Linked DNA regions of Arabidopsis thaliana. The protein of the gene in region 1 purifies or fractionates together with the protein of each later gene. This does not show direct contact. Each region holds a gene or a part of one and is shown in the gene's direction. Other genes may lie near its edges.

Region 1 (8,317 bases):
ATTAAGATTTTCCATTTTACCATTATTAATTTACAGTAATGCGTAGATTAAAAATATTAAGTTGTTATGTATCAGTGATAGTCTTCTACTTGTAAGTAGAAAGTCTACTGATTAAGCTTATGTATGTTTCAGACCTTCGTACTAATGAAAAGAAACTTTGAGGGGAAAAAAAAGATTAAAAATATTAAAATATATTCACAGTGGATTAAATATGGAGCGCTCTTACGTATAAATATACTTGCTCTACTGTTATTTATTGTCTTCTCAAAAATAAGGTGTTTAGTCCGCTAACGGTTTATTTCGCTTTATCCACAATATTTTTCCAAAGCCTAAATAATACTATTCTTGATCACATATAAAATAAATATTCTAGAATTTTTCTTGTTCTATAATATTTACGTTTTTATATTCTTATATTTCAACAAAATTAAAATAAACATGATTTATTTAGGTTTTTGTGGTTTAGCGGATGGAACAAACTAATTTGCTTATGGACCAAATCTGTTATGTTTTTGAGACTAAATAATATTATATCCGTCCCTAAAAAGCTGATATTTTGGGGATTTTTCTTGTTCCACAAATATTAATTTTTCTATATATTTAACTATTTAATGTTAATAATTTGTAAATTTTAAAAATTATCATTGAAAATTGAATTTATGAATGGTTATTGGTTTATAATAATTTTGTGAAAATAATGTATTTATAACTAAATATTAATTGTTTGTAAAATTTGTGTGAAAATTCCTAAACATCAATTTTCTTAGGAACATAAGCTGTATACCTATTTTGCATGGAAACGAAAATGTTGAAGCAAAACGTTTTGAAAACGGAAAATAGTTTTTTTCTAACATTTTGAAAATGTATATTATATATATATATATATATATATATATATATATATATATATAACACCAAACATAAAACTATATTAAACAAAACTGTTTCAAACAATACATATCCAAAACGTAAATAATTTAACTAAAATCTATAAAAAAAAGATTAAATGTTTAAATTCAAAAATTTAGACTATGATTTTTATTTATTCATATATTGTTTTAACCGACGGAATATAATTAAGCATAACAATAAATTTTCTATTATTTAACATGATTTTTATAATGGGTAATTGAGTGAAAACAATATTGTTTTTTTTTCATGTATTAAGGTACCTTAACTCTGATCATTTGAACAGAATAATTCTTGATTTGGTAAACCAATACTGAGCTTTAGCTTTACCGTATTTTTTTGACAGAAAATCACAATTAGTAAACCTCTTTCCGCAATTTTGATTCTACTTTTTTCTTTGCAAATACTGATCTCGGATAGTCAGGATTCAACTGGTCAAGATACCAACTCAATGTTACTAATTCATTTTCTTTGACGTCTCTAATTGATTTCTTTCTTTCTATGATAAGCTTACGTGATCAGTCCCTCTTTATATAGACCATGAAACCAAACCCTTAAGAAGAATAAGGAGTCTACATCAAGGAGATCTCAAAATCGAATAGGCTTTTAAATTCTTCAAACATAACCAAATTACACATCTATATCTTGACCAAATTGCCCACCTTCATTTTGAACCCAGAGAGAGAGAGAGAGAGAGAATGAATCAAGTTACCAATTGTTTGAATAAAGTATTTGAACGTATATATGTTCCTATCATATGGTCTAGATCACTGACATATGTAGTGATGTGTCTTAACGAGTTACTTACTTGTGATGTATATATATTACAAGTGGATATACATATGAGTTTTTTTCTGCGGATCCGAGAAGATCTTTAGATGCTTTTTGAGGATTCAAAGTACGTTATTCCTATAAGAAGCAAAGATGTGAGGCTTGTGTAGCATCATGGTCTATGATTCCCTTTATGTGAAAATTTTCCTAAAAGACTTGTTTGGATCAGTTTGGTCCATTTGCCATTTTTTGTTGGCTGATTTTTTTTAATGTTCCTATATACAAATTTATATCCGTTTTGTGAATATTACGGTGAACTAGATGATAATCCAAAATTGTATGAATAGACTTTTTATTTTTTCTATAATTAAAACTGAATTATTGTGGTAGAGAGCGATATGAAATCGCTGTGCGGCTACTTTATATCATAAAATACTTTTTTTTTTGTTGAGAAACATGTTGCTTAATTAGTATATGGTCGGATTCACAACACTTTAATTTTGTAACAAATCTATTTATTTTGCTCTGAAATCATATATATCTCACGTTCTACTTTCTCCGAGTTTCAATTTTAGATGCAAACATAAACCTAACATCATAAAGACTGTACAACAACCCAAGAATTGAAGATTAGAGACGACACCTACATAAAAATCGCAAAAGTATGTTCAATGTGATAACAAGTAAAACTTTTATCTATAGAGATTATTGTAAAGAACCAAGCTTAGATCATTGCAAGATGCAAGACTCATTTTTAACGTAAGTATTATTCATCAAACTCTTAGAACGAGATTGATATATAGCATCATGCACATTAACTATATTATATAACGATCTAAAATCATAATAATCAATATGACCGCATTATTGGAGATATATAGATCAATCTCATCCACGGGTTGCTCTAAACCATCCCATGAACGGAGCAAAACCCTTCTTTAATTTTGTCTTCTTGACCGAACAATCTCTCTCAAAATCCTTCTCTTTCTTGTTTCTCTCCTCTTCGTCCCCGACACTTGACATCACACGTGTCAGCAAAGGCGAGCTCGCGAATGTCACTAGTCTCCTCTTTTCCAACTCCTCCGTCGTCACAACCTCTTCTTCAAAATCATTAGACGTCATCGTTTGATGCTGTTCCACGAACTTGAGTTCCTCAATCTCCGGATTGTCTAGGCGACTCGACCTCGTCCTGCTGAGCCGTTGTATCTCCTTCTTACCAAGTTCGAGTTCTTGTGTTAGAGTTTTGATTCTGTTGGAGAGGCTGGTGTTTAGTTGTAGTGTTCTTGTCAGTGTTTGTTTTGTCTGCTCAAGCTCGAGTGTTAGAGATGGTAGTCTTGATAGAGAACTCGGAGTTGAATTTGTTTCCTTTGTCCGTATCTGAAACCGTCAAAGACATGTGATGTAAAAAGTAAAAACTATACGAGCCGGAACGTATCAATTTATTCATATATACAATGCCCATTCAAAACTATAAATGTATGTGTACATATTTTTTTTTTTTCATTTGGTTGTGTTGTATATCTAGTCAATAGAAAATGGTTACAAATATATCTGACATATTAATTAGTTTATATATACAGTATATATTATGTATATATAAAATATTATTTCAAAATAGTAATCTTTGTGATGATATTGAAGTATTGAACATTGTTTATTTTCGTTGTGATAATATAGAACATTGTTACCTCTCTAAGCCTAGTTGCATAGATCTCTCCGGCTAAAACTTTCTCTCCGAACATGGCCACCGCTTCTTTCACCGACCCAAACGCTGCTTTTGTCTCTATCTCCGCTCGACCACTTCTCCAAACGTTTCCTCTCTCCATTACTATCTGCTTAATTAATTATGCGTATACCTTCCATCAATATTACATCACACAAGAATTAGTGTTACTTTTTGTGTCTTATACAGTAATTTGGAGGGTGTTAGATTCTTGGCGTTCACTACACTTGAATTTGGTTAATAAAAATTATAATGATGGCTTTTGCTCCTGTCTAATTAATATTCGTTAGCTAAATGTGACCATCTTGATAACAACACCTCTCCTAAAATAAAATAAAATGCACACAGGCCTCTTGAAATTATATTGGGCCGAAAATTTTGGCCCATTAAGGAAACAATAAAACTGGGCGGTACAAGTCGGCGATCTCGCCCGTGAATCCTCTCGGAGTTCACAGAACTCACTATTCAAAGAGAGTCGTCACAGAGAAACAAAAATGAGAGGGAAAATTGCTTAGAGAAGCATCATCTTCCATAGTCTTCCTCCTCTAATTCGTTAGTCTTTGTTCAAACGATTCTGGGAAACTCTCCAGAATTGTCTCTAGTTTAGTAGCTTTTGTAAAAAACCTTCGCTAAAATTCCACTTGTTTTGACCTAGTCTGGCACTTGTACGGTGCGTTTAGAGATCGTCGCGTCGGTGATCGGCGAAAGAGCTCCGCCGTGTAAATTATTTCGCTCAGCTCTTTGTTCACCATGAGTCCAATTCAGAATTTCGAGCAACACTCCCGTCGTCTCGTGGATCTTGACCTACGTAATTTCTCTATTGATTTCACTCTCTATATAACTCAAATCAGCTTCCTTTGATTTTGAATTTTGAGAGAATTTTCATGATTCTCGTATGAATTATAGTCTGACTTCGACTCAGTTCTTGTTTTAGTTTTAACTGTGAAATCAAAAATTCTTTTGTTTTTTTTGTTAATTTATCTGTTTTGAAATTGTTTTGTGTAGCTATTCCAACAAGGCTTGAGATGGTGGTGGAGGTCAGGGACAGTCTAGAGATAGCACATACGGCAGAGTACTTGAATTTCTTAAAATGCTACTTCCCAGCATTCTCAGTTATTCTTCTACAGATTACTAAACCGCAATTTATCGATAATCCGGAGCACAAACTGCGGAACATTGTGGTTGAGATCCTCAATCGTCTTCCACACAGTGAGGTTCTTCGTCCCTTTGTTCAGGACCTCTTGAAGGTTGCAATGCAGGTGCTCACCGCAGATAATGAAGAAAACGGTTTGATTTGCATTCGGATAATCTTTGACCTTCTTAGGAATTTTAGGCCCACGCTAGAAAACGAGGTTCAACCGTTTTTAGACTTTGTCTGCAAAATCTATTCGATTTTCAGATTCACTGTCAGCCATTTTTTCGATAATGTTAAAATGGAAGAAGTGAAGCCTATGGAGATGCCTACGTCTTCTGATCAGTCCCTTACCCCTACCCCACCTATCGGGAATGTGCAGCTTAATCCGAGTACTCGGTCATTCAAGATAATCACAGAGAGCCCCCTTGTTGTTATGTTCCTTTTCCAGCTGTATAGCCGACTCGTTCAGACCAACATTCCTCATTTACTTCCACTGATGGTTGCTGCTATATCTGTCCCTGGACCTGAGAATGTCCCTTCACATTTGAAGCCTCAGTTCATAGAGTTAAAAGGTGCACAGGTTAAGGTGAGACAATGTTTCTTCGTAAGGAAGGGAACCAAAGCTTTCTACATTGTTGGAAATATTATTATATCAAGGCCTACACCGACTCATTGTTTGATCTGAATTATATTGTTTGTAACTGGGAGATGACATGATATATTGACTTTTGTTTTCGGATCATTTGCAGACGGTTTCTTTTTTGACTTATTTGCTAAAAAGTTGCGCCGAATATATCCGTCCGCATGAAGAAAGCATATGCAAAAGCATTGTAAATTTGCTTGTGACGTGTTCAGATTCTGCTTCTATCAGAAAGGTGGAAAACCTTATGGTCCTTTTCGTCAGTATGTTTTCTCTGGTGACACAGTTAAGGGAGTGCAGCTAAAGATTTACTTTTCATTACATAAAATGCAGGAACTCTTAGTCTCATTAAAGCATGTGCTTGGGACGGATTTCAAGAGAGGCTTATTTCCTCTGATTGACACTCTTTTAGATGAGAGGTATGAGGCTTAAGGCATCTGAAATTCGAAAATTTCGAAAATTTTCATATTTCTAAAGGAGATGTTTGGTTAAATCAAGCACAGCTTTTGTCCGCATATAGTTTATCTAGTTGAAGTATCTATAAACAAGTATTGACTTTTTTCAGGTATTCTTCTTTGTCTTCTGTGTTAGGGTTCTAGTTGGAACTGGGCGAGCATGTTTTGAGTCTTTGAGGCCTTTGGCTTACAGCCTACTCGCGGAGATTGTTCACCATGTTCGCGGAGATCTTTCTCTCGCACAGGTTTTTACTGATGCAGAACTTTAAACAGTATTAAACGTTGATTGTGATAGCCTGGATTCATTATAAGTGAAAATACTTCATTACAATACGCAATTGCACTGTGTGTGGAAAATTTTAGGAATGTAACATATTGATCAATTTTCTTTGCATCATTAGGCTTTCCTTTTTGACGTCATTTTTTTTTCCCCTTATTTTTTGTCGAGCTTAATGAGTGCATTTCCTTTACATTCCTCTGATTAACTATAAACAACGTCACAGTTATCACGGATTATCTACCTATTTTCAAGAAACATGCACGACTCTACCCTCTCTCTTAGCATTCATACAACATGTGCCCGACTGATGCTGAATCTGGTAATTCTATATTCTCTACCGTGCTTGTCTTGTTTAATTCGATAAACTGCTTTAAACAGGGATATAGTTTATTTATTTTTTCTGAATTAAGCTTCAATCAAAACTTGTGTTTGATACAGGTAGAACCAATATTTGAGAAAGGTGTTGATCAGCAGTCAATGGATGAAGCACGGATTTTACTGGTAGAAATTCACTGGAGAGTTCATTTTAGAATTGATTGGCTTCTCTGTCCATTAACTTACCTCATGTTGCACCTGTAAATAGGGACGTATCCTGGATGCCTTTGTGGGGAAATTCAGTACTTTCAAGCGTACTATTCCTCAGGTAATGCTGGTTGCTGTTCAAAATCGGATGTTGTGATCAAGAGTTCAATTTTTTTTGGCTTTGTTTTCTTCTATTACTGATGATTTACTGTTTGTTAAGTTTCAAAACCAAGTTATGCTGCTATTAATTTGGTCTCTTTCCTTCTAGTGTTTGAGATTGGGAAAGATGTGTATTTATTATTGAGGTGATCACTTGATCTTCAGGGGCAGTTTGCAAGATGCATTTGCTTTCTTGCTATAACTTTCAGTTTTCAGATGGTCTTTGAGAATAGCTGCAAAAAGTATTCTTGCTTGATATGTCATTTCTTTATTTTTATGTTACCTTTAAATTATGTGCTAAGAGGTTAATAAAAAGGCATCTTGAGCCTTCAGCTAATTCATTTCTCAACTCCATTATATTTTTGATGTTTTACCTATTCTTGCTTTGCGATTCGTAGCTTTTGGAGGAGGGTGAGGTGGGAAAGGATCGGGTCACTTTGAGGTCGAAGCTTGAACTTCCTGTCCAGGTAATTTGTGTCGCTCATCAGTGATTACTTTTTTTTCTTTCTTTCTCTGTTTTAGTGAGTAATACGAATTATCAGTAATACGAATTATCAGCCAATGTGTGATCGTCTTGCACATGTTTATATTCAAACTCAATTGCTTATTAAAAGCTCTCATATTATCTTACACCGTTACATGGACATTCCACTTTTGCTTTAAGTTGGAATATAGGTGGTATTGTAATTCCAAGCTGGATTCTTAGATTTTATACTAGGCTTTTTGTCTCCTGATGAAGCATTATGCAGTCTTATTGATAACTTCATAAATTTTCTTTTGTTCGACAAATGGATTATCTAGAAGTTTTATTTATTGCTAGACCACACTGGTTGCAGGCAGTTTTGAATTTGCAGGTTCCTGTTGAACATTCCAAAGAAGTGAATGATTGTAAGAATCTGATCAAGACACTGGTCATGGGTACTGAATCTTAGCAGAATTATCTTTTTACATTGACCATGATTCTATACTTGACGATCAATATTTATTCACTTTCTTGATTGTGTTCAGGAATGAAAACAATAATATGGAGTATTACCCATGCACATTTGCCTCGACCTCAGGTTTGTGTTAAATTGTCTCTTGTATCAGTGTTCTATTGTTTTGTCATGCAAGTATATTAATTGTGACGGTTTCTCCTGCTGGCCAGGGGATGAACCCTCAAGCTCTTGTTTCACAATCATCTGCTCCGCAGGGTTTTAAAGGAATGAGAGAAGATGAGGTACTGCTTGTAAGATTATTTACTTTAGTCATTAATAGTGCATGGCTATAAACCTTAGTAATCTCTGCCTTGAAGTAGGTGTGGAAAGCTTCTGGTGTTTTAAAGAGTGGTGTCCACTGCTTAGCTCTCTTCAAAGAAAAGGATGAGGAAAAGGAAATGCTGAATCTTTTCTCCCAAATTCTTGCTATTATGGAACCTCGAGATCTAATGGACATGTTCTCGTTATGCATGCCAGAGCTTTTTGAGAGCATGATTAACAATAACCAACTGGTTCAGATATTTGCCGCACTCCTGCAAGCTCCCAAAGTTTACAAGCCATTTGCAGATGTTTTGATTAATTTACTAGTTAGCAGCAAACTTGATGTTCTGAAGAATCCAGATTCAGCTGCAACTAAACTAGTTTTGCATCTGTTTAGATGCATCTTTGGGGCTGTCACCAAAACACCATCTGATTTTGAAAGAATATTACAGCACCACGTGCCTGTTATTATGGAAGTCTGCATG
Region 2 (8,317 bases), on another chromosome or scaffold:
CTAACGAACTTGTCAATCTATAGGATTTGGAGAACTCGAAGTCAGCATTTGAGAAAAGTCGTTTCAATCTAGTATGCTAAGTCTACGAATAGAAGCACTACTACGATTGTCTTTTGACCTTTCTGCATTTAAATGGTTTTCTCTTTGGTTTAAGGAATGCAGGTAAATTCACTGATGACCATTGAAGCAAAAAAGAAGTACGAGTTCTTGGAATCTATAAGTGCAATTATGGATTCCCATTTCAAATATTTTAAGCTTGTATGTTTCTTCTCTTATTTTGCATTTAGAGATGTAACCAAGTGTGACCAACTAAGGGAAACATCAGTACCTCGTTGTACTCCTTAATGTGGTCTCTTTGTTCTCCAGGGTTATGATCTATTAAGTCAATTGGAGCCTTACATCCATCAGGTACCACCTTAATGTCAAATCCTTTCTGACTATGCAAATAAGCAGAAAAAGTTTGGGAGCTTGTAATGCTAATTCGTTTACAAATGCATATGAAATAGGTGCCAGTTATCTCTTTTAAATCATGTATCTCTCCCTTTTTGTTCCGTAAAAAAAGCTAAAAAGGAAAAATAGTGACTTTAATAACTTGTACTATAACTTGTACTACGCTAACATGTGACTTTAATAAATTTATAGTCTTAAGCGAAGAGAGAAATAGTGATGTGCAGACTTAGAGAGTTAACAGTTAAAGATACTTAAAGCTTTCTCTAATAAAATTCATTAATACTGCTACTTTTCCTCTTACAGGTATTGACATACGCACAACAGTCAAAAGAACAGTCTAAGATTGAACAAGATCGATTTGCACAACGCATTCAAGAATTCAGGACTCAATCTGAATTAGACAGCCAACAGGCCTCTGCTAAAGCAGATCCCTCCGATGTTGGTGGAAACCATGTTTATAGAGCTATCCCCCGTAAAAACGTAGAAGCAAACTCAGTTTCAACAGCAGACAAGGAAGTAAGGTTCTCCAAACCATAGTTTTCACAAATTGTTCCAATGGTTCTCTGGTAAAGAAATGGATTAAGTTTTGTCTTGCCACCGGAAAATGGTTAGAAGTGGCATAGTTTGTCCAAAGATATAATGGTCGCTGTTTCTGAATATGGCTATTTATATTGACAGGATCTTGCTTACCCTACTGTTGTTTTCTAACTGACACAATTAATCCAGCTCTCATTCAGATGCTTATAAAGTTAAAGTAATAGTGTCAATATTTGAGTTGCGCTCGCAAAGAATATTTCTGGCTTCAAGACTTGGGCCTTCTGTTATTAGATATAATACTGCTTTACAACCATGTAGACATTGAGATTTATGATGACTCATTTGGTGATTAGCTATACACTTCACTGCTTCAGTTCTTGTCCAGGCTAATGTCTTACTTATTTTGTCTTGTGTACTAATGCAGGTAACTAAACAAGGGTATCTATTAAAGCGATCAGCTAGTTTGAGAGCTGATTGGAAAAGGAGATTCTTTGTGCTTGACAACCATGGATCCCTATACTATTACAGAAACACCGGTAATAAATCAGCGGTATGTTTGCCAAGCTCCTTTTCACTTCCTCGTTTCCATGAAAGAGATCCATAAGCTCTTTGAGACTTGGTTATAGTTCAATTTCCAATGTCCAATTTCGTACATTTTTATAGTTATGTAGATATACTAGCACTCCCTCATGTCTTGGCTATATTTATATTTGTTGACTGTTAAACAAATCTCTCTCACCTGTGTATTCTTTTATTTTAAGTTTCACTTTCTCAGTTTCTATCCTTCTAATCATCTTTTTCTATTTATAGAAATCTCAGCATTACTACAGTGGTTTAGGAGAGCATAGTAGCGGCGTCTTTGGGAGATTTCGTACAAGACACAATCGATCAGCTTCACAGGGAAGCCTAGATTGCAATATGATCGATCTCCGTACTTCACTGATAAAATTGGACGCAGAGGACACAGATCTTCGACTCTGTTTTAGAATTATATCTCCTCAAAAGACTTACACACTACAGGTACTAAATTTATTAGATATAGAAACGTGAAGGAGCAAATATAGCATCAAGAGGCCAACACAATTTATTTCTATATGCTACAGGCTGAAAATGGAGCTGATAGGATGGATTGGGTAAATAAGATCACAGCAGCTATAACAATACGTCTGAATTCTCATTTTCTGCAGCAGGTTTACTCAATATGAGTCTCATACTTTTCTTTTACCTTCAAATTGAAAATTTTGTGTTGTTATAGAATCTAATATCTTCTGCAGTCACCAGCAAGATACTTGGATAAAAAGAATACTAGTTCTGGTCCTGCCACTGAAAACCTCACCCTGAATCAAAAAGAAGATTATAATCAAAGACTAAATGTGGGGGATGACGTCCTTACAATACTCAGAGAAATTCCTGGAAATAACACTTGTGCAGAATGCAATGCACCTGACCCCGATTGGGCATCATTGAATCTTGGAGTTTTGATGTGCATTGAATGCTCTGGTGTTCACAGGAATCTCGGCGTTCATATATCCAAGGTAAATTTCTTCATTTTGGTACGATATTGCGTAGCTTCTTTCCATTTAGTTCGAGGTTGTATAAGCTCATTTGTTGTAAAGCTAACCATGTGCTATATATCTTTGCATCAACCAAAATTTGCAGAGCTCAATTTTTTAAGATGAAGTGTTTATATTTCTTGCTGAATTAAACATCTGTGTATGAAGCTTAGATATTTAGCTAATGTCAAAGAATGTCTGCAGGTGAGATCGCTCACATTGGATGTGAAAGTATGGGAGCCTACAATCTTGGACTTATTTCGGAACTTAGGCAACGGATACTGTAATTCAGTCTGGGAGGAGCTACTTCATCACCTTGACGATGACAGGTATAATTTCTCAAGGAAAATTAGATTGTTTATATAAGTAAAGACTGTCTCTATAACACAATCAAGAAATAACATTCCTTGAATCAAAATCATCTGTTCCTCTTTTACAAGTTTCTATTTTCCCAATTGTGTAAAATCATGAGATTGGTGATCTTTACTTTCCTATGATCCTATCTTCTGTTGAATATTTACAGTGAAAAGGGATCGACAGACACACTTGCATCAGTTTCGAAACCATCTTCAGAAGATTGGTTTACTCTGAAGGAGAAATATATTAACGGAAAGGTATGAGATTTAGTTCTTAAAGTTTTCGCATACATAGACCTCAGATTCATGTCACTTGACGCATCATCCAAATGAGCATATTCTTGTGAATAGAAAAGGCTTATGATACTAAAGCTGATAATGTTTATGCCTAGCTAGTACCTGGAGAAAGCACTAGTTGTCAAAGATGAAAGAGAAGCAAATTCTACTGCCTCAAGTAGAATATGGGAAGCGGTTCAAAGCAGGAACATAAGAGACATCTACCGACTCATTGTAAAAGCAGATGCAAATATCATCAATACCAAGTTCGATGATATTACTGACCTTGATGTATATCACCACCACCATGTTGATGCACCAGATGAAGTAAAGAAAAGGCACGATCCAAATGCGTGTCAGAGAATCAAGAATTCGAACGAAGCAAGAAACTGTCTTCAAGGCTGCTCATTGTTGCATGTGGCGTGTCAAAGCGGTGACCCAATCTTGCTTGAACTGCTGTTGCAGTTCGGGGCTGACATAAACATGAGAGATTACCACGGACGAACTCCATTACACCATTGCATCGCATCAGGGAACAACGCATTTGCAAAGGTTTTGCTGAGAAGGTAACACACTAACTAATAAATCTCATGAGGGGCACTTTGAGTAGATACTTAGTGTCTCTCTTCTTTGAATTTGACAGAGGTGCTCGTCCATCAATAGAGGATGGTGGAGGATTAAGTGTGTTGGAAAGGGCAATGGAGATGGGAGCCATAACCGATGAAGAGCTCTTCCTTCTATTAGCAGAGTGTCAGTAAATTACCAATATACCATTTGCTGATTGATTGCTACGCAAAGGAATGTAACTTGTAACTGTTGTAGTATTTGGTCATGACTTGCTCATCGCATTGATGCTCCAATATTTACCTAATTCCCGAAGGAGATAGAACTCTAGGAAATGTCAAGATTCCGACCTACTGTATTAGCCTTTGTAATGTTATACATAAGATGATCTCAAAGATTCTAAGCCTGCACCTCAAAGTTTTTTTTTCTTCTTCTGTATTTGATATCCGAGATACAAATATGTGTTTTGTAGCCGGAAACTTTATTATAGACAACATTCTCATTGCCCAACAAAAATTTGATGAAGTAAGTGTCGTGTTTTCTTCTATTATTTTGCTCTAAATTAAGTAGTGCTATTGCCACATTCTTAGATACTAACGTAGAAGAGTCCCATCGACATTTTTTTTTTGACCAATATTAATTAGAGTTCAAAAAAGCCTATCATTCACAGTAGATGCCAAAAACAAAAGGAGTCATTCCTAGAATTGTTGTTTACATATGTTTTTAGTTTATATTCTTAGCTTAACCAATATGCTGCGAATTGATTGCAGAAAAGTTTTTTTTTTTTTTTTAAATTAAACAATTCACCGAAAAAGAATAAATTCTTATTATTGTTTTTTGCTATAAAACAAAATCATGAGCAAAAGAAAGTATTCATCTTGTGGAATAAATTTTTATTTTTTAAAGTAATGGCTTTATTTTTAGTGTTAAACAGTATTCTTTTGAAATGTAAAAAAAGAAGAAGTATTCTTTTGAAATGAATTTTTTATTGTTTCTTTTGGTAATAATGCGTTTTAATTCGAACCGGAAAGAGTTAAGGGATTAAATAAAACCGGCGGCTTTTTCAAAACCCTTCACCGTTTGTTCTTCATCTCCTCGCCGCCGCCTCCTACTCTCTCTTTCTCTCTAAATTGCTCAATTCTCTCGGCCACAGGTAAGCTTCTTCGACTTCACTCTTTGACCCAATACTACTTTCCTCACCCCCTGTGGTTTCCTTTGTTAAACCCTTCAATTCTCTTTCTCAATTTGATAAACCCTAGTTCTGCTATAGACCTAGACAAGGATGGTGACTAAAGCAGAAAAACAATTCGCCAAAAATTTCAACATAGACGATCTCCCTGACGTCCCTGCCGGACTTCCTCCACATCTCAAAGCCCAGCAAACTCGTGTCGTCTCTAAAAACAACGCTCCTGCTCATGTAAGAACTATTCTCGTTCAAAGTTACAATCTTTTATGCTCTGTTTTGTTGGTTATAAGCTTATCTAATTACAAATTTTATAGCTTTTCTCAATGATCCCATGTGGGTTTGAGTTCTATCGTTGCTGTGTTCATGATACAGAGTAAAAGTTTTGTTTTTTCCTGTGAAAAGCTGTGAATTTACGAGTTTGGCTCTTAAGTGTTTTACCAGAATACACCTTTTGTTTTCAAATTCAAGATGATATTGAGTAGTGATTGTTTGAAATTTGAAGTCTTTAATCTTGTGTTTGTGTTTTCTGTAGACTGCGAGTGCCATTTACTCGGGTACCTATGTTTCTTCTACGGAAGAGGACGACAATGTGAAGCTAGGAAACTTCTATGATAACTTCAAAGTTGATGTGGTTAGTCTCACAAAGACAGATATGGAATTTGATATGATTGGTATTGATGCAGCGTTTGCCAATGCATTCCGAAGGATCCTTATAGCTGAGGTCTGTCAAGTTTTCATACAACCTCTGATGAATCCCTCATTGTTGTAATCTTTGGCTTAAAGTGCTTCTTTCTTTATTGCAGGTTCCTTCAATGGCTATTGAAAAAGTGTTGATAGCGTACAACACATCGGTTATTATAGACGAAGTTCTTGCTCACAGGATGGGTCTTATTCCAATTGCCGCAGATCCAAGACTTTTTGAATATTTATCCGGTAAGCATATATTTCAGTGGTATGTGATCCATCTACATATGATGATAATTCTTCTGATTAGCTTACTTCTTTATCTGTGTATGATAGAACATGATCAGGCGAATGAAAAGAACACCATTGTATTCAAACTCCATGTGAAATGTCCGAAAAATAGACCACGTCTTAAAGGTAATATATGTTCATTAGTTAGCATCAGAAGATTTCTTGTTTTATTATCAGCTCCATCTCTCATGAAAGATATCATTTCGTTTTCTTGTAGTTTTAACGAGTGATTTAAAATGGTTACCAAATGGAAGTGAGCTTCTGAGAGAATCGGAAAATAAAACCTCAAAGCCAAAAACTTACACTTCATTCAGTTGCAGCCAAGATTCATTACCTGAATTTGCTAATAATCCTATCACTCCATGCGACCTCGATATCTTGATAGCAAAACTCGCCCCTGGTCAGGTAGTGTTTCTGTACATTCTTTTTATATACACCCAAGCAGACCATACTTGCAATGAGAGATGAAACATGTGCATCTTCTTTTATCTCTTTTTTCCCAGGAAATCGAGCTCGAAGCTCATGCGGTTAAGGGCATTGGTAAAACACATGCAAAGTGGTCTCCAGTAGGGACTGCTTGGTATAGAATGCATCCTGAGGTGAGAAGTATATACATCAATCTATCATATGCTTTATGGGAAACAGCTCTTTGTTTTGTCTTTCCTCATCCCAATATATATGTTTCGTAATGCTTTTGTTTATACTATCTTAGGTGGTTCTACGTGGGGAAGTTGAGGATGAACTTGCTGAACGACTTGTAAACGTCTGCCCACAGAATGTTTTCGACATTGAAGACATGGGAAAAGGTGAAGTATAAAATCTTATGCAAGCTGATGAACTTGGCTGCATGACTTACTTAAATTTGATTTCATACTGACTTGTGGAAAACAGGTAAGAAAAGGGCAACAGTAGCGCAGCCACGTAAGTGCACATTGTGTAAGGAATGCGTAAGAGACGATGATTTGGTAGACCATGTGGATCTTGGCAGTGTTAAGAACCATTTTATATGTAAGAAGAGAAAAATAAAACCCATTCCTTTTACTCTGCTACTCATGATCTGAAAGATATCGTAATTGAGTTTCTTGTCGTCTTTTTTCTCAGTTAACATTGAGTCCACCGGATCACTGCCTCCAGAGGTTCTCTTCACTGAAGCTGTGAAGATATTGGAAGCTAAATGTGAAGCTATAACCGACTTTTGAGTTCTGGTTTAGTTCAATTTTGAATTGTCTGTCTATCAATGTTTCTCCTCCTATTGATAAATTACCAACAAACAACATTGACATATTTATTTATACGGTTGTTGTTCAATTTGGATTTTCATTAGCCTTCTGAGTTCTGATTCATAACAAAATTCCTAGCTGAACCAATTTTGGAAATCTGCTTCGGTTTAATTTGGTTTTACTATTCTACCACTAGAACACTGACGCCATTCCTTACATTGTGCCAATCAAGGTGTGTGTTGGTAATAGTAGTTTTTGGTTTCATTGAACACTTAAAATAGCGTCAGTGGTAGAATAGATCCCTGCCACATTAGATTATACAAAATGTTCTCATTAAATATGAACTATGAGAGTTTATGTATAAATAACTGAAGAAGTAACATTTAAACAAGTAGCACCAGTGGTCTAGTGGTAGAATAGTACTCTGCCACGGTACAGACCCGGGTTCGATTCCCGGCTGGTGCAATAGAGCTGTGATGAAATCGGTTTCTGTAAAGGTTGGGTCCTTTGCATTTCTCCAGTTTATCTGGTGATATGGCCTCTTAACTGAGCTCTTTCTTTTTCTATTTTTTCTTTACCTTTTTAAGTTTTCTAATTAGAAGACATCAGTACATAAACAGTTGATTATGCTAATAGTAAGACTGATTATGATAAGGGAATATAAACAAAGTTCGACAATGTGGTTGTGAATTTTATAACGAACATGTTTTACAATATATCACAAGACTCACATGTTTTATTGGTTATTAGTGGATCTTTACAACATAACCACAAATAGGGGTGCTGAGTTTTTGAAAGAGTTTAGAAGTTTTGACCAAACAATTTTAAGTTCTTCGGATTCAATTACCAAATGTCAAAATACTCGTCTAACTATGATTTACAAGTAAATACCACTATTACAAGAAGTTTTTTTTTTTTTTTTTTTTTTTTTTTTTTTTTAACAAGAAGTTTAAGCTATGCATGGTAACATATTAATTTATTAGTATATAAAAAAAAATAATTCCAGGTTACAAAATAAAACAAAAGTATCTTACAATAATTAAATTTTGACGGTATGACGATATACAATATCACATCAATAATAATAAAAAAATTCATAGTTTATAGAAAATGGTTTAGACATATCATATCATACATATATTCTTAACCCGAATCCGGATGTTGTTCACGACGATAACGCGTAGCAATTTCACAACCACG
Region 3 (8,317 bases), on another chromosome or scaffold:
TAGAGATCTGTAAGAGAGACCATGTGTTCTTTTTGTTGCAGTTGAGTACTGACCCATAACTGCAAAGTTTGCTGTCCAAACATATATTTTTATTTATTATTTCATTGAAAAATATATTGATTACTTATTACTGGACCCATTTTTGAAATGAAATTGCAGATTCAAATGAAATGATTTTCAGAGTTGTTGATAATGATAAAACCAAAAATTTTGTGTCTATGACGTTTTTTTTTTCTAGTCAAACTAAGATGATATACTAAAGTGGACCGGCAAGTGTTTAAATGTGATATGACTTGTTTTGTAATCAAGTTTTTTTAGCCTTTGGGATGATGGGAGATTGATAGTGATATTATAAAAATATAATAACAATAACTATATCAAAAAACAAAATTGATTTAACATATCATCTAAGTAGTAATACGGACCGAGTGCTAATGACTGGTGTGAGTGGTGGTGACTAGAGGTGGACCTACGAATAAAAGCGTAACCATTTCATGAAAACGAAGTGACGAAAATTCAACTACTGTGTGTCGTATTTTCGTTGTTGGGATCAACAGTTTTTAATACGTGTGTTGAATTTGTTCTTGTTTTATGTTTGTTGAGCTAGAAGGTTTCAAATTATGAAAGAATGAACTGACACTAACCAATTAAGTGGTGGTCTAGTGGTAGACGTCGACATTTCAAAAGAGGTAGGTATGATTTCTGATTCAAGTCTTGTTTGGGACAAGATGATTTACGCATGTCTGCATTGTATACTTACGTATAATATCAATCGCTGCAACATGTAATGGAGATCGAGACTACTAGCTCTTAATTTATGAGCTAAATATATAAAGAAACTGACTCTAATGACACTTAATCATGTAGATTCTTCGACTTGATGGGGATGAGTGGGCTCTAAAGACATGATGCACTGAGCAGTTCGTGATTTTGGAGAATGTGAGGAAAGGTAACTATAGGAATTGATCACTAATTCGATGGTATATCGGATTGGCAATGTAACACTCATAACTTTTGATGGTAGAGAGTTTGTGGATGTCAAATATCGTTCAACTATGAGAAATAACTTGACTTCTATAGTTCTATGAGAATACAGTGAAATAATGCCACTTTAGGTAATGAGGTTTTGTTGTGTCAATTTATAATGATGATGACTGCAACTAATACAATAGAAATACTCTTGTATCAACTTAAAATCGTTGCGGAAAAGGTTCAATTTGTGTCTAAACATATATGAGATCACATTGTTAATTGTATAGCAGATTCAAACATATGTTTTAAAGAAAATGAATTTACTGATATAGAAGGGACTAATAAAAGGCAAGAAAATTCGTAGGTCGATTATGGAAGATTAATGAAAAATAACAAACTAATTCAACAATAACATAGTTCTAATCAAATTGTTTTTTTCTTGCTTTGTCGTTATGACTTTATGCCATTTTATTCTACCATTTTTGTCTACGCTTTCGTCATTCTCGGTGTTACCAATCGAGCCCATGACATCGGTAAACATGAATACACTATAATGCATTGCCTACGCATATGTTTATCTTTAGTATTTTAGGCTTTAGCTCATTTATTTTAACGTTAAAGAAGTGTGAAACAATCTTTTAATAAATGCAAAAGTAGAAGCACGAAGGAATAAAAAAGGTATATACCGCATTCCTACGCGTATTCTATATGTTTGATTTTCTAGCCATTTTAGCTTTGGACTGTCACGTGAGTCGTGACGCTCTACCCCCTAAATCTATGTCTATAGTAGTATGTACATATCAGACACATGCATGAGGCACCTATATATTTGTAAATAAATTATACACTATATGACGTATGGATTCAATGATACCAAGAGTTTTTGCTTGTAACGCCCAAGATTTTCGAAACCTACAATCTAGGATCTAAATAGTGTACCTCCAGTTATAAATTATATTTGTCGCTCTAGATAAGTTAGAGTAATGGCCAAATCTCGATAACAATTTATTTGTGATCTCCTCACATGAATTTCTTTGGAACCAAATTAATCCCAAACGATAGGATTCAATAATCAGTTAAAGTTTTGTAGTATTCGATAGTGGGTTAGAGTAATGTAGTGATGCAAACAAGAGTGCTAATCTATTGGGTCTATACATTGGATCAAATTTAATATATGGGCCGAACTATCATACCAAGCGTCATGCTTTGAAGAAAGTAGTTGAACCAAGCCATTATACCCTTTTAACTACTAACTAACCCATCTCAAATATCCAGATTTAAATTGGTGTCCATATTATATGAAATAAGTTAAGACTGATTTGCCAACAAGGCAACAACACCTTAATAAATTTAAACATCTAACTGAAAGAAATGTATTTAATCATCCAACTAGGTACATTTAAGAATAGATCACATTCATAATTTTGTTATTATCATTTACAACAGTCATCATGGATTTGTCTTCTCTTTGATCCTGTCTTAGTGTCTTGAAATCTTTGAGCATTTCTTCTTCTTCGTCTCTTATAATATATTTAAAAGGTTATATATTTACATATATACAACTTTGATTTCGATACTCTTGAGAATCCAATAATGAAAGCGAAAGTCATAGAGAAAGAGAACTGCTTCGTATGGTTGGTTAAGGCTCCTTTTCGTCTGTTGATCATGGCACGTGACGCCTACATACGAAGCATTACGTCATGCTCCGGCGCCGGAATTTATTCCGGTGGTGGATCATCTGGTTTTGGTCAACTCTCCGGAAACTTCCAAATCTGCGATCCGCCTAGCACCGCCCTTCCTCGAAGCTTTACCTTGACGTCGGCGGCACATGATCAAGGCTGTCTGACACGTGGCGGACAACCTACGATTGCAATGAGACAATCATTGTCCTTGGATCATCGGAAGAACAATAGATGCGTTGTTGTGATGGGAAGAATAGATGAGGAGATGTCTTGTGATGATGATGATGAGTTTCAAGAAGAAGACTCTTTTCTTGATTATGGTAATTGCGAGATTCTTACAAAAGAAATAGAAAAACCATCTGTTGACCAAAAACATAAGCCTCTAGGACGATTTTGATTTTGATTTTTAGGTTTATTATTAGGTTGTTGCATTGTGCTTATTGAGAAATATGGATCAAACACTTGAAAAGAAAAATCATTTTGTATCATTTAATATTATTTCTTGTATTACTTATAATTGATGTTAAAAAAAATTACATACGATTCTAAAAGTGGTGATGCAAATAATTCACATTGTTTTGTTAACAACCAATGCAGTTCTACATGATTTTAATATCATGAGTAATTTCTAAAAACAAATTACAACAAAAATTAATTTCTTTTAACCACAATAACTTCACAAAATTACAAACATAAAATACAAATTCAAAACCACAAGCACAAAAAATAATAATTTAGAAAGTTTATCAATTACTATTTTTGCTGTAAGAAAAAAAGTTTCTCAATTTTATTTTTGTCTGCAATATCTTTACAGATTCCAAAACAAAACAAAAAAACTATCTTTTTATTTATATATATATATATATATATATATATATAAATGTAAACTTCCTCATAAGTAAATTAACAAGAATATATATCAAACAAAATCTTGTAATTTTTTAATATAAATAAAGCTAAACCTTTACGAAGAAGAAAGACTCTGGTGATTGATTCTCCAAAGTCTAAACCTAGTAAAAGCCAAGTCTCATTCCTCGGGTGAACTCAACAACCGACGATGGCAGAACTAAGGTTATCAGAAACTCGAGACTTAACTAGGATCGAAAGAATCGGAGCACACTCACACATACGAGGTTTAGGTCTCGACTCAGTACTCGAGCCACGAGCCGTATCCGAAGGAATGGTTGGTCAAATCAAAGCACGTAAAGCCGCCGGAGTAACCCTCGAGTTGATCAGAGACGGCAAAATCTCGGGTCGGGCTATACTTATAGCGGGTCAACCCGGAACGGGTAAAATCGCAATAGCAATGGGTATAGCAAAATCACTTGGACAAGAAACACCATTCACTATGATTGCAGGAAGTGAGATCTTTTCTTTAGAGATGTCAAAGACTGAAGCTTTAACTCAAGCTTTTCGTAAAGCTATTGGTGTTAGGATCAAAGAAGAGACTGACGTGATAGAAGGAGAAGTTGTGACGATTTCGATTGATAGACCTGCTTCTTCTGGTGGTTCTGTGAAGAAGACTGGGAAGATAACAATGAAGACGACTGATATGGAATCTAATTTTGATTTGGGATGGAAATTGATTGAGCCATTGGATAAGGAGAAAGTACAGAGTGGTGATGTTATTGTTTTGGATAGGTTTTGTGGGAAGATTACTAAGCTTGGAAGATCTTTTACGAGGTCTAGAGATTTTGATGTTATGGGTTCAAAGACTAAGTTTGTGCAGTGCCCTGAAGGTGAGCTTGAGAAGAGGAAGGAGGTTTTGCATTCTGTCACACTTCATGAGATTGATGTTATTAATAGCAGGTTTGTTTCTTGATCTTGTTCTGTATTTGTCAATTGCTTAGTTTTAGGTTTAGGTTAAAAAGATTGCTTCTTTTTCACGTATTGATGCTTTTTCAAGTTCTTATTTGGATTCTTGTTTTCTTTCTGTTGTTTGCAGGACTCAAGGGTATCTAGCCCTCTTCACAGGTGATACAGGCGAGATTCGTTCAGAAACCCGAGAGCAAAGCGATACTAAAGTGGCAGAGTGGAGAGAAGAAGGGAAAGCTGAAATAGTACCTGGTGTTCTCTTCATTGATGAAGTCCATATGCTTGATATCGAATGCTTCTCTTTCCTGAATAGAGCTCTCGAAAACGATATGTCACCAATCCTGGTCGTGGCTACAAACAGAGGAATGACAACAATCCGAGGAACAAACCAGATATCAGCACATGGGATCCCAATCGATTTTCTTGACCGTCTTCTTATTATCACAACACAGCCTTACACACAAGACGAGATCAGAAATATTTTAGAGATCCGTTGCCAAGAAGAGGATGTGGAGATGAACGAGGAAGCGAAACAGCTTCTGACTTTGATCGGATGTAATACCTCGCTTAGGTACGCGATTCATCTAATCAATGCAGCTGCCCTAGCTTGCCTGAAACGTAAAGGGAAAGTCGTAGAGATTCAGGACATTGAGAGAGTTTATAGATTGTTTTTAGACACCAAGAGATCGATGCAGTACTTGGTTGAGCATGAGAGCGAGTACTTGTTTAGCGTGCCTATAAAAAACACACAGGAGGCTACTGCAGGAGAAGAAACAGAACACGAGGCCATGGAAGTTTGAGAATTTTGTTTTATTGCTTTTTCAAGAACTTATTTTTTCACCCCATTTTGTCATGGACTCATGGGACATGGTTGAACAAAAGATGGAATTTTTCAAGTTTTCGAGTTCTCATTGAGAGATAGACAACGTTTTGTACTGTGTTTTTGACGGAGCGATAAGATGGTATGACAAAAAGGTAAGATTGTGGAGACGTTTGAAGGGTTAATTGGTAAGGCTACCTAAGTTCTCACCTAATGTTTGTATTCAATTGGCTGATTATGGTGGAAAGATGGCGGTTTTGTGGGTCGAACAATCTCCTTGTAGTAACAACGGCTATAAGAATAAGATTTGGTGCGCGGAGATTGCTCTTGAAAAACAAGAAAGTTGTGAAATTTGGGGAGAAGTTGAGTGGTTTGGTCATGTGCTTACAGTTCCTTCAACATGTTTTGTTGCCAAGGTTATTGCTGCTACTGTTTGATGATGAATGAATGTGTCACAAAGCTTAAATATGTTTTTTTTTGGTGTATGCAGATATGATGATGACATGGCTTAATTTTGTCTCTTTTATTTATGTGACTGCTTTTACTTTCGTACGATTTCTTCATCCAAAAAACAAAACCCAGAAAAATCGATGAGTGACTCATCATCAGTCATTGTCCGAAGCTCAAATTTCATTGTCGTGATTCTCTTCCTCAACCTCGTCACTTTCTTCTCCCTTGTCTCCTCCAATGAACTTGTCTTTGGTAAGTTTGTGTCGGAATTGAATTATACTTTTAGGGCTTTCTTCAATTCTTTATGGGACTCGAATTTTGTAGTTTAGAATCACCAAATTTCAAACCTTTTTTTACATAATTAAGACAATTGCGATGAATTATATAAAAAAAGATCCAATTTTGTTGTTTATTAGCAGCTGTGGGTGAAACTGGTTCACTACAAGTGACTCCAAGAACAGAGGTGATATATTCACCTGGTCTGAAACGAGGTATAACATCGATATGTGAGAGATTACATATCCATGGATTACAAAGAAGACTTGAGCACATTGATAGATATGCACATTCACTAAAGTTGACTCTTTTGAGTAATAATGCTTCCAACAGTATCGACGTTTGCTTCCACAGGTAAAATCTAGTATCTGTGTAATCTCTATGAATCAATCTAGTATCTGTGAAATCTTAAAGTTTACTTCTTTCTGATTATAGGAATTCGTCGCGTGCAATTGGAATGTGTCCTGATAATCAGTGGAAGAGAGTGTCCAAAGGGTTACCTTGGGTTGGGATAATGTCACCTTTTGACTATAAGATTCTTGATATAAGAACATTTGGTGGCTCATCTAATGTCAGCACCGTGGAGTTGGTTGCTAAACAAGGTAGAGTGCTTGTGTTGTTTTGTGTTTTGCAAAATTCTAAAACTAAACAAAGTAGAGTTTGTATTTGCAGAGTTTTTCATATACCGGATTGTGTTTTTAATCATGGGGATAGTGTTACTGAGTTTGGCTTCTAGACTTAGCAAATCAGTTGCGTTTTACTATATCGGTGCAATGTCTATTGGGATTGTCATTCTTGTAACTCTTATCATTAATCAGGTAAAAGTTTTCATAACGCTATCTTTTGTTATATGTTTCATGGTTTTTTCTCTGGTTAACGTGATAAACGGTTGTGCAGGGGATAAAGCGTCTACCAACTAGAGGGAAGAGTCGTTTTCAGTTATTTTTCTACTCGTCTATGGTGAGAGTTGTCTTCTCTTTGAGTTCTTTTGTCGAACATGTACTAACCAAAGCCTTCTTTTATATTCTCAGATTGGTGTGGGAGGTTACTTTCTTCAATACATACGCGGTTTAGTTCAAGATTTGCTAATGCAGATAGAAATCAGTGAAGATTTGTACATCCCTGTATGTAAGTTTTGGTACTTGTTGTTATGTCACATATTCATATTCTGGTTTGATTAATCTTAAACGGCTTATGTAAAATTTTGCAGCTGGCGATTCTTTTGGTTGTGTTTGTATTTATGTTGGGAGCGTGGTCAGGATTTTGGACTGTCAAGAAATTTGTTGTGACAAAAGATGGTTCTGTTGACATTAGTACATCAATCTTTGTCTCTTGGTCCATCCGAGCTTTTGCTGTGGCTCTGATCCTTCAGGTACTTCGTTTTTTCTCTGCTTTTGCTTCTGATTCATCTTTGATTATAACCAAACCTTTTGGTGATTGAAGTCTTGATCTTGTGTTAATTAACAGAGCTCTTTAGATCCATTACTTGCTGGAGGAGCGTTGATAACTGGAATTCTCATCTCATTGATTCTAAAGAGTATTAGCAGAAAGCTGTTAGCTCAAAGAATATATGAGCAAGATGATGAAACTGAGAGTTGTAGCCCCGGCTTGATCCATGCTACCTCGTTTGCTTCTCCTCTTCCTAGAGGTTTTGATTTTTTCTCTTTGTGTCTCTAGTGGTCTGATTTCTTTATACTAGTCCCTTTATCTCGTAATGTTGTTCTTGAAGAACCGGTTTTTCTTCTGTAAATGGTTTTTGCAGGTTCCAACAAGAAGTTGAGGACAGTACCATTATCTGAGTCAGATATCTTTCCTTCTTCATTCCACAAAACACCAGAAGGGAGAAGGAAGCTAACGAAGGAAGAGTTGCAAAAATTCACTAAAGAGAGCACGGAAAATGCATTGAAGGAATTGGTTTCTTCACCTGGTTTTGGCGAATGGGCGGTGAAAAATGCTAAAAGAATCACTGTAAATCCGATAAAGGAATCGTCAAGTAAATAGGGTGATACTGTTAAGCGCAGAAGAAGGTTCCTCTGGTTCTGAAAAGCAAGCAGCTAGGGGAACTTCTGAACCAGTCGGAGAGTGTAGTAGGTTGCTTGTGAACAAAGCAACAAGCCTTGCTTATATATAGTCTTCTGGAAAAGAACTAATGAGCAAGGCGAAAAAGTTGAGAGATTAACTTCTAAATCAACAAAATGTAACCTTTGACATAAATTGATATTGACCAATAAGATCATACGTTTCCATGTGTGTAGTCATCAATGATGTGAAACTCAATACTATAGTGTATTTTATTTGAATG

What was found.
Region 2: the proteins of AT2G17930 (region 1) and ATRPAC42 fractionate together in Arabidopsis thaliana (co-fractionation; one large-scale study listed by BioGRID). This does not show direct contact.
Region 3: the proteins of AT2G17930 (region 1) and AT3G49830 fractionate together in Arabidopsis thaliana (co-fractionation; one large-scale study listed by BioGRID). This does not show direct contact.

What each region holds. Positions count from the first base shown.
Region 1 is NC_003071.7:7,798,067-7,806,383, reverse strand, and holds the start of AT2G17930 (Phosphatidylinositol 3- and 4-kinase family protein with FAT domain-containing protein), read left to right. Parts: upstream 1-3,779; 5' UTR 3,780-4,153; coding exon 4,154-4,211; intron 4,212-4,408; coding exon 4,409-5,124; intron 5,125-5,287; coding exon 5,288-5,413; intron 5,414-5,511; coding exon 5,512-5,597; intron 5,598-5,769; coding exon 5,770-5,878; intron 5,879-6,136; coding exon 6,137-6,232; intron 6,233-6,351; coding exon 6,352-6,414; intron 6,415-6,496; coding exon 6,497-6,556; intron 6,557-6,992; coding exon 6,993-7,061; intron 7,062-7,430; coding exon 7,431-7,512; intron 7,513-7,602; coding exon 7,603-7,655; intron 7,656-7,741; coding exon 7,742-7,813; intron 7,814-7,891; coding exon 7,892-8,317. Other genes in the region: AT2G17940 (WEB family protein (DUF827)), read right to left, coding at 2,569-3,057, 3,369-3,506.
Region 2 is NC_003070.9:22,396,857-22,405,173, reverse strand, and holds ATRPAC42 (DNA-directed RNA polymerase family protein), read left to right. Parts: upstream 1-4,760; 5' UTR 4,761-4,889; exon of another isoform or gene 4,890-5,006; 5' UTR 5,007-5,018; coding exon 5,019-5,153; intron 5,154-5,454; coding exon 5,455-5,643; intron 5,644-5,725; coding exon 5,726-5,855; intron 5,856-5,942; coding exon 5,943-6,023; intron 6,024-6,114; coding exon 6,115-6,302; intron 6,303-6,400; coding exon 6,401-6,496; coding exon of another isoform or gene 6,497-6,586; exon of another isoform or gene 6,587-6,609; coding exon 6,610-6,703; intron 6,704-6,788; coding exon 6,789-6,905; intron 6,906-6,998; coding exon 6,999-7,096; 3' UTR 7,097-7,261; downstream 7,262-8,317. Other genes in the region: AGD2 (ARF-GAP domain 2), read left to right, coding at 24-71, 163-258, 367-408, 754-966, 1,412-1,537, 1,798-2,007, 2,091-2,177, 2,262-2,522 and 4 more.
Region 3 is NC_003074.8:18,478,672-18,486,988, forward strand, and holds AT3G49830 (P-loop containing nucleoside triphosphate hydrolases superfamily protein), read left to right. Parts: upstream 1-3,577; 5' UTR 3,578-3,711; coding exon 3,712-4,463; intron 4,464-4,599; coding exon 4,600-5,269; 3' UTR 5,270-5,309; downstream 5,310-8,317. Other genes in the region: AT3G49820 (uncharacterized protein), read left to right, coding at 2,566-3,051; AT3G49840 (transmembrane protein (DUF2215)), read left to right, coding at 5,880-5,991, 6,156-6,369, 6,451-6,617, 6,688-6,833, 6,913-6,975, 7,047-7,139, 7,226-7,387, 7,483-7,663 and 1 more.